2 linked regions of the Tribolium castaneum genome follow. The protein of the gene in region 2 binds, or shares a complex with, the protein of the main gene of each other region. Links are inferred from orthologs where the notes say so. Each region holds a gene or a part of one and is shown on either strand. Other genes may lie near its edges.

What was found. Proteins that work in one complex are often made in the same cells at the same time.
Region 1: MED23 (region 2) and MED9 share a complex: the UniProt entries of both Drosophila melanogaster proteins name them as parts of the mediator complex. The link is inferred for Tribolium castaneum from reciprocal best matches to the Drosophila melanogaster genes MED23 and MED9.

What each region holds. Positions count from the first base shown.
Region 1 is NC_087395.1:15,954,390-15,962,181, forward strand, and holds MED9 (mediator of RNA polymerase II transcription subunit 9), read right to left. Parts: upstream 5,095-7,792; 5' UTR 5,054-5,094; coding exon 4,953-5,053; intron 4,897-4,952; coding exon 4,791-4,896; intron 2,325-4,790; coding exon 2,187-2,324; 3' UTR 2,183-2,186; coding exon of another isoform or gene 1,925-2,182; 3' UTR 1,920-1,924; coding exon of another isoform or gene 1,308-1,919; 3' UTR 1,256-1,307; downstream 1-1,255. Other genes in the region: Dgp-1 (GTP-binding protein 1), read left to right, coding at 7-311, 991-1,203; protein YIPF3-like, read right to left, coding at 1,308-1,919; protein NCBP2AS2 homolog, read right to left, coding at 1,925-2,182; Mrgn1 (E3 ubiquitin-protein ligase MGRN1), read left to right, coding at 5,245-5,327, 5,373-5,505, 5,554-5,813, 5,861-6,048, 6,097-6,248, 7,554-7,792. UniProt on the Drosophila melanogaster protein: Component of the Mediator complex, a coactivator involved in the regulated transcription of nearly all RNA polymerase II-dependent genes.
Region 2 is NC_087394.1:35,201,778-35,209,534, forward strand, and holds MED23 (mediator of RNA polymerase II transcription subunit 23), read right to left. Parts: upstream 4,828-7,757; coding exon 4,414-4,827; exon of another isoform or gene 4,369-4,413; coding exon 880-4,368; 3' UTR 821-879; downstream 1-820. Other genes in the region: uncharacterized protein LOC658853, read left to right, coding at 49-145, 191-730, 777-820; stress-associated endoplasmic reticulum protein 2, read left to right, coding at 6,232-6,315, 6,374-6,484. UniProt on the Drosophila melanogaster protein: Component of the Mediator complex, a coactivator involved in the regulated transcription of nearly all RNA polymerase II-dependent genes.

The DNA of each region.
Region 1 (7,792 bases), on a different chromosome or scaffold from region 2:
TTACAGTTCATTGCGGAAGCATCCGACAAACTGCGAGTATCGTCCGAATGTCTAAAGATTGTCTCAGAACAGGCGATAAAGCAATAATTCACTTCCGTTTTATCAAACACCCGGAGTACATGACTCCGGGTCAAAGAATGGTGTTCCGTGAAGGTCGCACTAAAGCAGTTGGCAACATTGTGCGAATTATAACGCAAACAACGCCCACGCATCCCAATACAAGGACGAAACAAAACAAGCAACAAAGATACGGCGGGGGAAACACACAAACCAACCACGTGACCAAAAACGTTCAGTCCGGTTTACAAGAGGTAACGCTAAGCACACTTATAAATCGTAAACGCTTGGTAAAATAATAAATGCTGTTTGTAAAACGGTTAACACATAGCAAACATAAAAAGTATAGGAACTCTAGTTATAGTGGCGGTCAGCTCGATTTGCGTGTGCGTCATCAATTTCATTTTTTCATTACCAACACAAAGCTGTAAAAAAATTGTCAAAAACAATGCAAATTTAAACAACTAAGGGGTATCTAAGGGTGGTATCCTTGAACATTAATTTACATGTGCACTTCGACAACACCGTCAAGTGTCACGAATTTGTCAGCCTGACATTGACAGTAAATTATAGACGTCGTCGCATGGTTGTCGAAAGTGTTATCGGTGTTAATCGCAAGTATTTTCCGTTCCTTTATTGTGTTTTGTGATTTGCGTTTCGTTAGGTTTTTGATTCTGCGTTTATTAGTTCTTGTTTTGTGAATAATATATTTTTTGTATTTTTTTAATTTAAACACTTCGTAACCTCAAAAAATATTTGATAGTTTGTCAGCGCTATGCCCCTGCTATGTAAACGTAGTGACAGAAATGTCAGATGACGCACACGCAAATAGAGCTGAGCGCTACCATAAGTATAGTGTTTTCTAAGTCGTATCATTTTTTTTTTCTTAGCAAATTTAGATAATTTAACTTTTGAACAACTGGTGTTTTTTAGTTTTCAGAGATTGGTACCGCCGTTGGGGAGACAACGTTTGAGGGAAGTACCGATAAGCGTGAGCACAGTGGCCAAAAATCCGGCTCGAGGAAAGGTCGAGGTAGGCGCGGAGGTCGTGGTAAAAACAATAATGCCAACTCAAACACCGCAAAACCTCTCACTGAGACTAACATCAATTCGATTTCAAACCTCAATTCGACAAAAGTGCAATAATCGCGCAAATTCTTTCGTTTTTAACTAAGTCCGAGTGAGAAAAAGGCAGAAATAAAGTAATTTATTTTATTAGAGTTTTTATGTAACAATCCTTTGTTAATTTCCTACGAGATAAAAGTCCGATGCATGTAGGCAAAATGTAGAAAAATCACAAACAAGATATTACAAATCGAGATAAGCGAACAAATCAATAGTCGTGCCGCTGGTACGAACAAAGTCCCCAAAACAACCAAGGCAATTCGCAGCGTGCTTAGCCCGCCAAAGACGATCAAACACACGAAGAAGAAAAAATTGCTGGCTTCCTCAAACAGTAAAAACGAAACAAACAGTGTGAAAATGTGGCCGTATAAGCCGTACCCGATTAGAGAGGTCATTTCCGATAGAGTGATACACGAACGCCCGATTTTGCACACGAAAAACGCCAACAGCGGCATAGTTAAGCTGTAAATAACGACGGTTTCGGTCGGCGAGCGAAACGTATTGCGTGGTTTAAACGAGTAGCCATAATTTAGCAAAGCAGCCAATAGAACAAGGGCCAAGACCGGCCCTTGCAAATCAACGTAAACCTTCTGATACTTTTTGGAAACCGGCGGCACGAACGCGGCAAAAACCCGAAAAATCACATCGTGTGGCGGCACGAGGAACAACGACTTGAATTTTTGGGCGCAACTTTTCGGACTTTTCTCCGGGGAGCCGACGAAAATCACGGTCGCCATGGCGTCTATTTCATTTTGTGTTTGAACTCGTCACTGGCTTGCTTGATCTGTCCTTGCAAATTCTGGGCGATTCGCTTCATCAAAGCGCGGAACTCCTCGGGCGATAGCCGCTTGTCAAGACCCCGCTCCTCGATGAGATTCTTGCCGTGGTAGACAGCTCGCACTACGACCTGCGCCGCTTTGCGCATAGGGTACGATTCGCTCAGTCTTTGCACCAACTGTTCGTTGTTTGCAAGCAAGCGGATCAGGAGGCGAAACACCATGCTGTTATTTGGGGACTTCAAACGAGTACATGTAGCGGTATTTGCGCAGGAGCTCTTGCTTGAGTTTCAGCTGCGTCTTGAGGGCCTCCAAGTGGTCCAGTTGCTGCTCTTTGCTGTACTCAATCCCGGGCAATAGCCGGATCTGCAAGGGGTTGGTAGTCTAAGATTCGAATTACGGTCGTTCTGCACTCATCTGTTTAACGGATGAAGCTTATTTTATCAAAAATGCGAGTAGGTAAAGTCCATTATTTATCTTTAATTGTTAGAAAAGTAATTGGTTCAGAATTCTTGTCTCCGGTTTGCCTATGGCATCAGGAAATTCCAACATACTTGGGCTTTTGAGGAAGGAGTATAAATAAAGTTTTTCAAGTTTTTTCACTTTGAATCATTCTAGGTTCATTTTCAACAATGTAATATTATTTAACAAACACAAATTTAAAAGTGTTGAAATTAGACAATCGAATTTTGCATGATTGTGTAAAGTATTGAAAATTAACAAGAAAAAATGAAAACTTAAAAAAATAAAGATCAAATAATTGAAAGTGGACGTGAGGCGACCATGCTATATAAAAATCAAATTAACAAAACTTGGACTTTATTTATATCACAAAATAGTTACTTCCAAGTCCCACTGATGAAATAATCTTCCGTCGTGACATACATAATGTTACCGTAAGTCGCACAAGTCTCTTTTAAAAGTCCCTTTTTTAATGTAGCTAAAGATTATAATAGCATCCATCGACAGTTCTAGAAATTGAATCTTCTTATAGTTTCAAGGCTGCAATATTTGACAAATAATTTTCCGAACAAGGACAGTCATGGGAATCTACTGGTTATTTTGTACTGGTTTGTTATGTCAATTTTTTTTTATTTTGTCTTTATTCATTTGCTGTATATTTCTTCTTGTTTGAAAGGTTTAAGTGGAAGAGCAGAGAACAGCAACTTTGCTGTTCATTTGAAACCACCTGTTTATTCGTACATATAACGGGTTTTTATTATTATTATTTTTCCTTAAGTTGTAGATACTAATCACCTGCCTCATCTAAAACTACTTTCAAATATACAGAGTAATTCAAAAGTACTCGTACAATCTCTCGGGTGCTGATAAAGGACATCAAACTGAATTAAAAGTTCCTATGACAAAAAATTGTTTGAGTCTTTTTTCACGAGATAGCTACAGCTCTTCAAAGTTAAATTTTTAAGTTAATTTTTTGATGCTTCGGACCATATTTTTTTGACCTTAATTAGCAGAAACGACATCTCTTGCAACATTAAACAAATACCTGTTGAAAAAAATTAACAAATAATGTCTAATTATGTGCAAAACAATAAAAAAACTTGTAAATTCGACAATATCTTAAATTCAACATATTAGGAAACAAAAGAGAAACAATCGATACCGTTGCTAAGGAATACAAACTTAAAAATATATAAAAAAATCTGACTTCATTTTTGTGCTTAACTGAACGTCTTTTATCACCATACGAGTGTTTGTCGAACATTTTTGAATCATCCTGTATAGGATATTTCCGAAATTAGCTACAATACAAACTTATTTTTTTAAGAATGTTCAAAGTTAAATTGGTTAACGCATGCAATTAGGAACGTAGAAAAATTATGAAGTTTGTTAAAAGTTGAATAACATAATAAAAGTTTTTGTTTTTATTTTTCAAAGATTATTAAATTGTCTACTTAAAAACAAAGTTTCAAATGCCTAACCTTTATAATTAAACAAATATTTGACTTTAAAATTTAATTTCATCAACAATGCAGATTATTCATGAGGATTACTGTTACCATAACCTTAGCAACTTCACCACGGATCATTTGTTGGAGTTTAAACAGGGATTTAAAAATTCGCCATAGATAAGAAAATTTTAGTTATTTTACTGTGAAAAATAACTGAAAAATAATAAAGTTATTATTAGCTGAAAATTTTACTCTTCGACTATTGAAACAATTGTGAATAATTTTTAATGACTTTTTTTAATGTTTTAAGTTAAGTATAATCTTTTGAGTAATCAGCACTTAACTGTTAATGTTCTTTAATAGACAATTTAAAGGTCTTTTAGATGCAAAAATAAAAAATACGGTATTTCATTTAAGTTTAAAGTTATTCAAATTTTAACAAGCCTCTTAACTTTTTTTATTTTCTTGATTGCAGTGAGCTAAAAAATAATTATATCCTTAAAGTTTTCTAACGTGGAACCATAACTTTTTTCATTATAGTGTAATTTGTAACATATTTTGCTCAATACTGAAGTCGTATTTGCTATTTCCCGCTTCAATTATCTGATTGTTTTCTCAAAAACTACAATATTACAACCCCACCTCATTTTCTCAAACAAGTGGACTGAGGTTGTTTTTCCCCTGTAGCCTTCAGTTGTAAAATACTGAAAAAAGGCTAAAATTCGACGCTTTTTAGCCCCCTTTACCATGGCCTGGAACATTTTTTTTAGGAAACCTATTCGCGATACAATCCTTTGGACTTTGGATATTATCTCTGATAAAAAGATATTTTCATCCGGTAACCAGAAGATAGTACAGTATGATCCTAATTCGTATCCCCTACTATGGGTATGAAGTGATTAGGGTGGAAGAAAGTTACCTCGGCTCTGGCTTGGTCCAAACGTTTTTGCAACTCGAGCACCTTCTGGGAACAGTCTTGCGACTCTCGTGCCTTGGCGGTGTTATCGTGGTGGTCTTTCTCAACACTGAATGATTATGCAAGACATTACGATTTTGCCTGTCACTAATTTTATCAACAAACCTGCGTATTATTTCGTAGATAATGGGCAAGATCTCGATATTCAAATTTTCCACCGTGACATTCCTCTCTGACTCCTGGTTGTGCTCGTCAGATTCCATCATAGCAAGGCATTTCCTGAATTTTCATTGAATTTTCTTTCCCACATGAATTTTCTGACACATTCACTCAGGGATTTTGTGTCCCTGGTGTTGGCGACGACGCCTCAAATGTCACAAGTGTCAATAATAATGTCAAACTAAAAACAACAATAATTTCTGATTTTGGAAAAACTTGGCAATTTCAAGCCCGCAGAATGGGTTCGTTGGCTAGCAGACAACACGCAGGGGTCGAGGAAGTGGACGTGGTGTCAAACCACGCGTACAAGTACCCGCCCAGGTCTGGTATGTCGCTTTGCTTTTTTCCGTACCAATTACCTTGAAGGCGTTTTTCTGAAGGGAACTACTTCGGGAGCCACTTTATAATGGGGGGCGAGCGCTTCGACACCCCCCAGCCCGAGTCTTACCTCTTCGGCGAGAACTCCGATTTGAATTTCCTGGGCAGTAGACCAACCCCTGTAAGTAGCCATTATGCGGTTGTTTCGCCCCCACAGTGCCGTTTCTAGTTTCCCTACCCCCCGCCCCAGCCTAATGAGCCCACAAAAACGCTCAAAAGTCTGGTGAACATCCGGAAAGAGTCGCTGCGGTTTGTCCGCGCCCCTGCTGATTATTCCAAACCGGCGGAAAAGAACGAGCGGGACATCAGGGATATTGAGCTGGGCAAGAGCTCGACGTTTAATATCGAGTTCACGTTCGATTGTGACGTCAGGTGTGCAATAACAATCTACTATTTTTGTACCGAGGAGTTTACACCAAGTGGAGTCACGTAAGTTGGGTTTTTGTCATGGGTTTGCAATTTTATGGGGTTTGAAGGTACTTGCCGCGTGACCCTAACACGACCTCCGAGACTTTTCATTACAAACGCGGTGCGAACCAACAGTTTTGCCAAATGACTCACGTTTTTGATCCCTCGAAGTACACAGAAGAGGAGTTGTTGTATGATGTTGACCGGGAGATTATTCCAATTGCCATTCACTGTGTGGCGGAGGAAGGCGCTGAGGGTTGGTTTGACCCGTTTTTGAATTTAATTTTTGAATTGATTGTTCCAGAAATGAGACAATCACACACAACTATCGCCACAGCCGAAAAATTGTCCGACGGTACTTATGTTTTAAAAGCTCTCAAACAGAAATTATTCGTTGACGGTCTTTGCTACCTCCTGCAGGAAATATACGGCATTGAGAACAAAAATAACGACAAGGTGATTGATTATTTACATGCCCTACTGGGCATAAATACACAGTGAAATCTCTCTTAACGGACACCTATAAGCGGAACTCTCTCACAAACGGACAATTTTGTTGGCACTAAGCCACAATAAATAATACACATAACTTTAAAACCTCTTCTGAGGCCAGAATCTAAATCAGTTTACTATTGAATAAAACATGTATTCTTTTTTTTCTGACGAATTGTCATAATTAACATGCTGTCTGCTTGAAGGCGAGATTTTGTGTTCAAGGATCTGATTTGCATTGTCTGCGTCCGTTTATTGGAGCGTCCGCTTAAAAGAAAAGCAATTCCATTTAAAGTAAATTAGCTCAAAACGGGGTCAACAAAATTGTCCGTCTGTCACAGAAGTCCGCTTATAGGAGTTGTCCGTTAAGGGGGATTTCACTGCATTAATTACACTAGTTTACAACGTTTTTTACCAATAGATAAAACCAATGTTTATCTGTAGAATAATTAGTCCTGATACCGAAGTCAAAAAAAAATTAGAACGGCAAGTTTTTTTAATATTCATTATAAAGTATCAGTATTTGACGATTTTTGCAACTTCAAAAATGTTACAGAATGCTTTTTCTTTTGTACTATCAAGGTCAGTTTATCGTAATGTAGACTAGTAGTAAACGAATAACATATTTTTATCCTAAAAATATTTTTTTTCATAAGACTTTAAATCTTGATGGAAACATTTACCATGTTCATTGCTTAAGCGTCTCAGGTTTTGTTAGAAAAAATTAAACTTAAAATAAAAAACGTTGTTTAAAGCAAATAAAATATTTAAGAATTTGTTAATCACACAAATAATGAATGCCAAAGACACCACAAAAAAGATGGATTCAGAGCTTTTGAAAAATTAATTATGACACAGATTTTTTCTTTTTTTTTTGTACTGATTAGTGTCAGTGCAAAACCTTGGTATTCCCCTTTTCATAAGACTTTAAATCTTGATGACAACGTTAACCATTTGATCGCTTAAGTTTTTCAGGTTTTATTTGGATAATTTTACCGCAAACAAAAAAAAGTTGTTTGGGCTTAATCTACATTCACTTGATAATATTTTACAGCAAATTAAATGTTTAACAGTTAGTTTATTACAGAAACAACGAATGCCAAACTAAACACCAGAAACAAATTTTCAAAACTTTCAATGAATATACTAGAAAAACTAGATAGGAAAATAGTTAACAGTGAGTAAGCAGAAAAAAAAATTGTAAACTAGTGTTGTTAATTAGATTACAAACTGCCCAGCACATTGCGTATTAAATACCACGTTTTCTAGCAATCCGGCGACGACGAGACTGAAGATAACGGTTCGGAATGCGTTATTTGCATGTGCGACGTTCGAGACACTCTGATCCTACCTTGCCGCCACCTGTGTTTGTGTAATTCATGCGCTGACTCGCTCCGTTATCAAGCAAATAATTGCCCGATTTGTCGCGCCCCCTTCCGGGCGCTTTTACAAATTCGGGCATTGCAAAAGTGCGCCAACCCGAATCTGGCTCAAATCAATCCACCAGA
Region 2 (7,757 bases):
CTAACCTAAAAAATAGTCGCATTTTAATTTTTTACTTGATAGTAAAGCATGACTTCTGTCGAGGAGAGCCTTGAGAACGCAACAATAAATTCATCATCGACTGATAATTCCGATGACTCAAGTAGCGAAAGCAGCGATGAAGAAGGTAGCGTCACAGCCCCCAAAAACTAGACTTAAAATGATATTTCAGTACCCGACTTTCCCATTGCCATGTGGGATTTTAATCAATGTGACCCCAAGAAATGTTCAGGCCGCAAATTATCGCGTCTAAAATTAATTAAAACCCTAAAAGTCAAACAAAAATTTCCAGGGCTGGTATTAACCCCGACTGGCACTAAATGCGTAAGTCCCAATGATCGCGACATTGTTTCAAGCAAGGGGGTAGCCGTGGTGGACTGCTCATGGGCCAGAATCGACGAGACACCCATTGCAGCACTCAAGCCCCAACATGGGCGCTTATTACCGTTTCTCGTGGCCGCAAACCCCATCAATTACGGGCGACCTTGCCAATTAAGTTGCGTTGAAGCGATAGCCGCAACTTTGTACATCACCGGATACAAAAAATTAGCTCGGCAGTATTTAGATAAATTTTCGTGGGGACATTCATTTATCGAACTGAATAAAAATATATTGGAGGTATATTCAAATTGTAGCGACAGCCAATCGGTGATTGCCGAACAGACCAAATATATAGAAAATGAGCAAAAACAGCAAGAATTGGCCAAACAAGGTATGTAACGACGAAATGTTACCAATTAAATAACAAACTGTTTTAGCGAAACCGGATTTTCCAAGTTCAAGGGAGAGTGAATCGGATTAAGTTTTTTATTTTTTTATAAAAATGTATTTACGTAAATGTAAAAACATAATACAAGTGAGTTACGATGCATTAACTTCCTCAATCGCCAAATGTGCGATAAACCTCAACCTCATTTGCAAAGGCGGTCTTAACCGGCGCACCACAGTCTCCAACTCCTTCTTCATGCTATCCCCCACAAACATGTACTTAATGTGGTACAAGAGATCGCAGATCGGGTCCATATATTTCAACTCGCTGTGCGCGTGGTCAACTTGTGCCAACAGTTCGTACAAAGCACTCGTCAATTCCACTATTGCCACGTTAAACCGTTGCAAAAAGGGCCCCACAAGATGACAAACATAGAGAAACTGTTCTTCGGACCGTACCACAGCCGGTAAACACTCACGCGCCCATCGGGGCACACTGGCGATCTGCCCCGGACCAGCGTGATGCCAAACCGAATGAGCCAAAGCTAGCATATAACTAAAATTATTATGCAAAAGCCCAGCGTGGGTTTCTTTGAAATCGAACAAACGGAAGGGAGAACAGTCAAAATTCCACGTTTCTAGCTCGTTTAACGTGGCCACAAGTCGATCGTGTAGAACACTCCAGTAGCTAACTGGAAGCGCTGCCAGAATTAAACCAACAGCATTGACCCACTGGTGGATGTCTGACGAGGGAATTGTGACATAGCCTTTGGCCACGACGTCTAGCAAACCGTTGGCTACGGCCACCGGACCGGCGGACAACGCCATCAGTTCCACACAGCTGGTGTAAAGAATATGAGCCCCGGCGTTTGGGAACTCATTGAACCGCCAATCAATTACGGAATTGGCAGTGGCGCCCCCTAGAATATCAACGACTCGCTTGACCACTTGTATGTAATAGTCCAGTTCGGGGGTCCACATCTCGTCAGCAGCTCGTCCGAGGTACAGTTGGTAGGGCTCCGAAAGACTGTCTTTGAGTGTCCCTAAGACAGCAGCCACCAACCGTCGTTTCAAAGGTGGACGGTCCCTAAGCCTAGTCTCGTAATAGTGCAAAGTGTTGTACAAATAAGTGACCGGACGGTCATGAAACTTGTACAAACAACCCAAGTGTTCTAACAGAATCTCCAAACTTTTGGTGACTTGCGGTATTTCCAAAAACCGGTGCACCACTATATCAAAAACCGGCAAAAAGCGCAAACACACGTTGCCAAAATAGGGGTGGTAACCACTTGACTGTTCCTCGGGGGCAAACTTCTCGGGGTATTTCCGGTGAAACTCCAAGTGTTTCTCGTGCCAGTTGGTCTGGTTCCAATGATCGGGCGAGTTGTCTTTGACGAAATCCTGCACCCGATTCCTAAACTCTGTAGCTTTAAGCAACACCAACTGGATGATGAACGAACAGACTTGAGCCTCGCTCCCTTCCTGCGTCCGCAGCGCCAAACACAAGACCAACCGATCGATTGTCACAATATTGTACTTCCAGATCATGTCATTGATCGTATCCACGCATTTGTTAACATGTTGCCCCCCAGGACTGTTACTAAACTCGAACACGAGACAATCACAAAACTTCCTCAAGTGGGCCGAAAGCGCCCTTGCCCCAATCCTCTCCAGGATTTTGTAGGCAATTGGCGTGATGTGATCAGTCTCGAGGAGCATTTTCCACAACAAACAGAGGAAAAGTGGGGGCGCTCCCGCAACCCCAAAATGCGCCATCATGTCATTTTCGTTGTTCATGGACGACCACTTCCGGTACTCCTCCTCCACTGCTTTCTTCAATTGTTGTTTGTTTTCTTTAGGGACGGCATGTTGCGTGAAAAACTCGGCCAGAGCCCTGGGGAAGCATTCGAGGGTGTGGGGGGCCCACGCATGGGGGGTACTTTGTGCAATGGTCGCCAGCAACTCGTGACACCACGAGCCGTCGGCCCCCGTCACGTGCGTGGCCCTAGCTAGGGTCAAAACCAGCGCCCGATTCAACTCTTCCGATTCCGCCGAAATTAACGTCTTGGGTTCGGCTAAAAAGCGGCTCAGTTCGGGCTGAACTTCGCCACTGCCCAGCCCCGTGATTAGACGCAAAGCGGTCGATTCGACACATAAGTGCAGTTGGGTTTGGTTGGCTTGCGGCACCGCTGCCAACGAATGCAAGTGGCTGAGTAACTGGACACGGTAGTGGGGGTGGATGTGGTGCATCCGATAACTAAACATCTCCAGAAGTGTGTAAAGGGTGCCCCAAGCGTGTGACTTGTATACGGTTGGCAACAACTGGCTTATGAACCCTTTGATGCCCAACGATTCGATCTCGGTGTACACCAACAGGCGACTGTACGTTTCCACCAAAGCTGGTGATAGTGGCATTCCTAACTTGGCCTGTGCTAGTTTAATCACGTGTGTGACAATACTATGGATTAAGCTCATTTTCGAATGCACAGTTAATGAGTCCAAGACGGCCATGCTTAAAGGCGCGGTAGGTGGGGCTGTTGATTTGGGGCTCCCTTGGATCGTCTCAACTAGCGCTGCCATTGGCTTACTGTAATAATCGGGGTTCGTTGAGTAGGCGTTGCACAACAAGGCGATTCTGTAGTCATTTCCCATCGCTAACACGGTGTTATTAGGGGGCACCAACTGTTGGAGGAAATCATGATGGTTGCGTAGTTTGGCGGGAATTGGCCAAGTCAAGTTGGTCATTTCGGCTTGCGCTTTCTTAGTCAAGTGGATCCAAATGCACGTCATTGCCATCTGTCTCGTACACTGGGGCTGGTTGAAGTCCGGAACGGGCAAAGGGGGCTCCTGTTCCGGAAACAACAGTTCGTAAAGCCGCAAAACTGGGAGGAAATTCGAGAGGGGGTTCTTCTGAATCGAACCGGAAATAAACTGCAAGAGGACCCACATGAGTTGGTCGCGCCCTCTCCGCAAGTCGCGCCCTTGCAGTCTCGAATGCAACGATATAACAATGTTTGGGAAACTCGCAAATTGGAAAAGAACAAAATAAATTAACTGGGACGACAAGTGCAGCCATAACCCTTGAGTGGCGCTCTCATCGCCCTCATTTTCCGTGCGTTCCAGCGCCAAAATCACCAACTCGACCAGTTGTTCCTCAAGGGCGGCACAGTGTCTCTTGTGCTGTTTCTGCAACCCTAACATGCCACACACCATGTCGCGACTGTACGGCTGTTCCAGAACGTATCGTAATAAACCGGTTTGCTTCTCTAGTAATTCGGGAGCGTACGGTAAAGTGCCCTTAAGCGAGAATCGCAACGTGCACGGGTCAAGTTTCCAGGGATTGACCAAGTGTTCGGGACAGCCGCTGTGCTCCACAACTGGCCGCATTTCCGCCTGGCCTACGATAGCCACCATTTGGGCACAGGCCCGAAAACTGCCAACGTAATCGGAGAAGAGGGCAGCAAGGCGCCAGTGGGGGCAGTCAGGGTAGGCCTTCTGGAGCTCGTTCACTAGGAGATAGCCAGGCAGGAGGCACGCGTTCCTGTCCATGATTCGTTCAGCGACGCTTAAAAGAGCCTGGGTTTGGGGCTGCAAGCCCGCGTTCAAGCGCCAGGGGAGACTTTTCGCCTTCTCGCAACATCCCTACAATCAACAATCAAACAATTACCACAACAATTCCCCACTTACTTTCATAATTTCGCGAACGCCCTTGTATTCAACCAAATCTATAATTTTCCGCACGAGTTTAAAGCACTCGATCCAGAACCGCGCATTGGTGTGTTGTAGTTTATCGAAATTCATCACCACCTCACACACGATACGGGCCCCAATGGTACCGTTGCGCACGACACTTTCCAGGAGCTCCATCAAGAGCTGGAGCTTGCTTTGGGAACATAGTACAGCAGTGTTGAGGTACTGGCGAAGGGCGGTGTCTAGCTGCTCCTGGGGGATGCTCCGCAGGGCTGTGTTCAACTCTTGTTGCCATACAGCCACCTTTTCCTTTTCGGCACTGGGGCGGTGCACTAGAAAGCAACTAAAGGCTTCTTCGATGCCTTCAACTTTGAGAATGTCGGTTAGGACGTTTGTTAGTGGCTCGCCCATCGTGTCCACGGTTATTTTTCAGGCGAAAACATTATTTTGTGGTTATTTGAATGGGATAATAACGGTAGGTTATGTTTGGCCGACTACATGTTTAGGCAACACATTATACAAGCGCCTAACACTGCAGAACCGTATTCGATTATTTTGACTTGCTGGGTGAATCCTCAGAGATAATAAATAATTGCGTGCGTTGTAAGATGTTATCAACTCTCAAACAACGTCAATCTAAATTATTCCATACCTAGCCACATTGTAATAAAATTCATATCAGCCCGAATCTATTCGTTTATTTGCATATCCACTTCATACGTGAAAATTTGTTTGCTTATCTTTTAATAAAGGCAATATTATTACCGCACGTCTCGTTCATTATGCGCTTAAAGAGTTCTTTTTGTCTCACATTTCGATATGAACTCACAGTTCATAGAACAGGTGAGGTGTCACTCATTTAAATCGTTTTAATTTATTTGTTTCTTCTCCCTAGGTGCAAATTTTAATGCACGCTCAACAAATTAAATGTGCGGAAAGTATTTTTGGGAAATCAAACTACATGTGGCTTTGCAGCAAAAGAACTCCCGTTATTTGGATGTCGACGAAAGATGAATTCTTAATTCGACAAGCCCTAACAAAGGTACAATTTAATTGTTGCAATTAAACGTGCAATTATCCTTCTTTAGGTCACTCCTGACCAACAGGTGAAAGTTATGAAACAATTATTGACTTGGCTGGATAATAATCCCGAAGTCCACTCTTTGAAAATCCCTGAAATGTCGCTAAAGCTCCTCAACAACATGGCTAATGCCAATGCCATGAATGAAAGGACTTTTTCAAGAATGAATAGTTTCAGAAACAGTCTGAGACGCTTGTCCTTAATTACGAACCGAATCGCTCCCGCAAACACACCCAGAAGATCCGTAACTTTCAACGACGTTCCCATAATTTACCGCATAAAATACTGACAAAAAAGTAACGAAACCTTTACAATATCTATGTAAAATTTGTGCCGAAATAAATGCACCTTAAAATTTTTGTTTTTTGAAAAATCTGAGTTAAAAATCAGGGTAAAAAGTCAAATTCAACGTTGTTTTTGATGTTTGAAAAAAATGCATAGAAGATAGGAAAATGACCAAGAAAACTAGGCATATACTTGATTATCATAAATTATTGCAAATTGAATGAACCCATTGGAAATTTCTAGCACTCCCTCCCTTGTTTGAAATTCTCCACGCGTCCGTGGCGCATGCGCATTTTCATCTTACGTGTCAAATAAACGTCAAAAAAGCGCCTCCCTTGCCCCTCTCCGCACTTTTCGGGCCAGTGTCGAGGCACGGACGTGTCAAAAACGCGTGTGTATGTTTTTCTGTTGAATTATTTCCACTTTTCCGTATTTTTTTCCTGTGAACGATGGCTCCCAAACAGCGGATGCGTTTCGCCAACGAAAAGGCCAGCAAGAACGTGGTCTTGCGAGGGAATGTGCCCAAATCGTCGGTGAGTACGCTGGACCATATTGTTTGTTGATGGGGAGCTGACGGTGCCCCTTTTGCAGAAGCAGCAAAGCGAAAACTCGCCAGTGGGGCCCATGATCTTGGCGCTGTTCATCTTCGTCGTGTGCGGATCGGCGATTTTCCAGATTATCCAGTCCATTCGGATGGCGTAGGCTAGGCTTCCCTCAAAGGCTCAATTCCTATCGTGTATAAACCGTGTCTGTTCAGTTATTGCATTTTGTTGTTTTCTCTATACTTATTTTGTAAATTTATCGTTTGTGGAATATAATTTTATCAGAATTTTTATCATGTATAAAGTGTATTTTTACATAAGTTGTACTAGAATTGGGTGGTACTACTTTACGCACAGATGCCTATAATGAGATTCTTTTGTAACCATTCCATGCTTAATTTTAGGAGACAATTTGTGTAATTACCATATTTTCAATGACTATTAAATTATTGAGTTAAAACCTCGTTTTATTTCATTGCATTACCTACACTCACAACTAGTTGTGTTAGAAATGGGGAGTAAAAGTAACAGACAAACAGTTAAAAAAAAGTATTACCCCTGTTACCTCACTGAAATTTCAAGTTCGGCAAATTTCATAAAGAAAAAAATTAACAAACAGATATAAAATCAGAATGTATGGTTTGTGGAGTGTATTTTGTGTTGCATTTGTGCCTAATCAGGCGCGGAATCTTATCAATATCTACAAAATTGTTATTTAAACCGATTTTATCAATATTTCGTTTTTTCTTTTAGCTCTAGCAATAATTTATCTGTTATCGGAACAAAACACAACAAGAGGATTGTTTTTGTTATCAATAGGTATAATTATTACGAACATACAATACTATTACTTCGTGTCATTTTTCTTCTACCGTTTTTCTTAATTTTATTCACATACAAAATAATTGAGCCTTTTCTCCCTAAACTAGGTTCTCATCTTGTGAAGAAAATTTGGTATTTATCGATAGCTTCTGTGTTCTGCATGAATTAAAAAGAAACAATTTCTACATTATTGTACCCTTATTACTAAGTACATACAATTTTTGGAAGTCCAAATACAGTTTGCAAGCATTATAAAAGACATAAAAAATCGAATTAGTTTAATTTTGGATTAATTTTTAATTTGCTTTCTGTAAACCAATCCTTATAATAATTATTATTAATTAATTACTTTCAAAAATTTTTTGTTATTAGTAATGTTTTTTTTTATACCAAACCACTTTAATAGAAATCGCTTTTGAGTTATTTATTTATTTATTTTTATTACAAAATGTTTATTTCATTTAATTTTTCTTTAATTCTAAATTTGAAACACATTGCCCCCACTCTAAAAAAAATGTGAATCTTCCTTAAACGTACATTTTATATTAATTTAAAATCTGTTTAACAACTTGTCTAGACAAACAACCATTATTTTTAGTGATGTAAATATA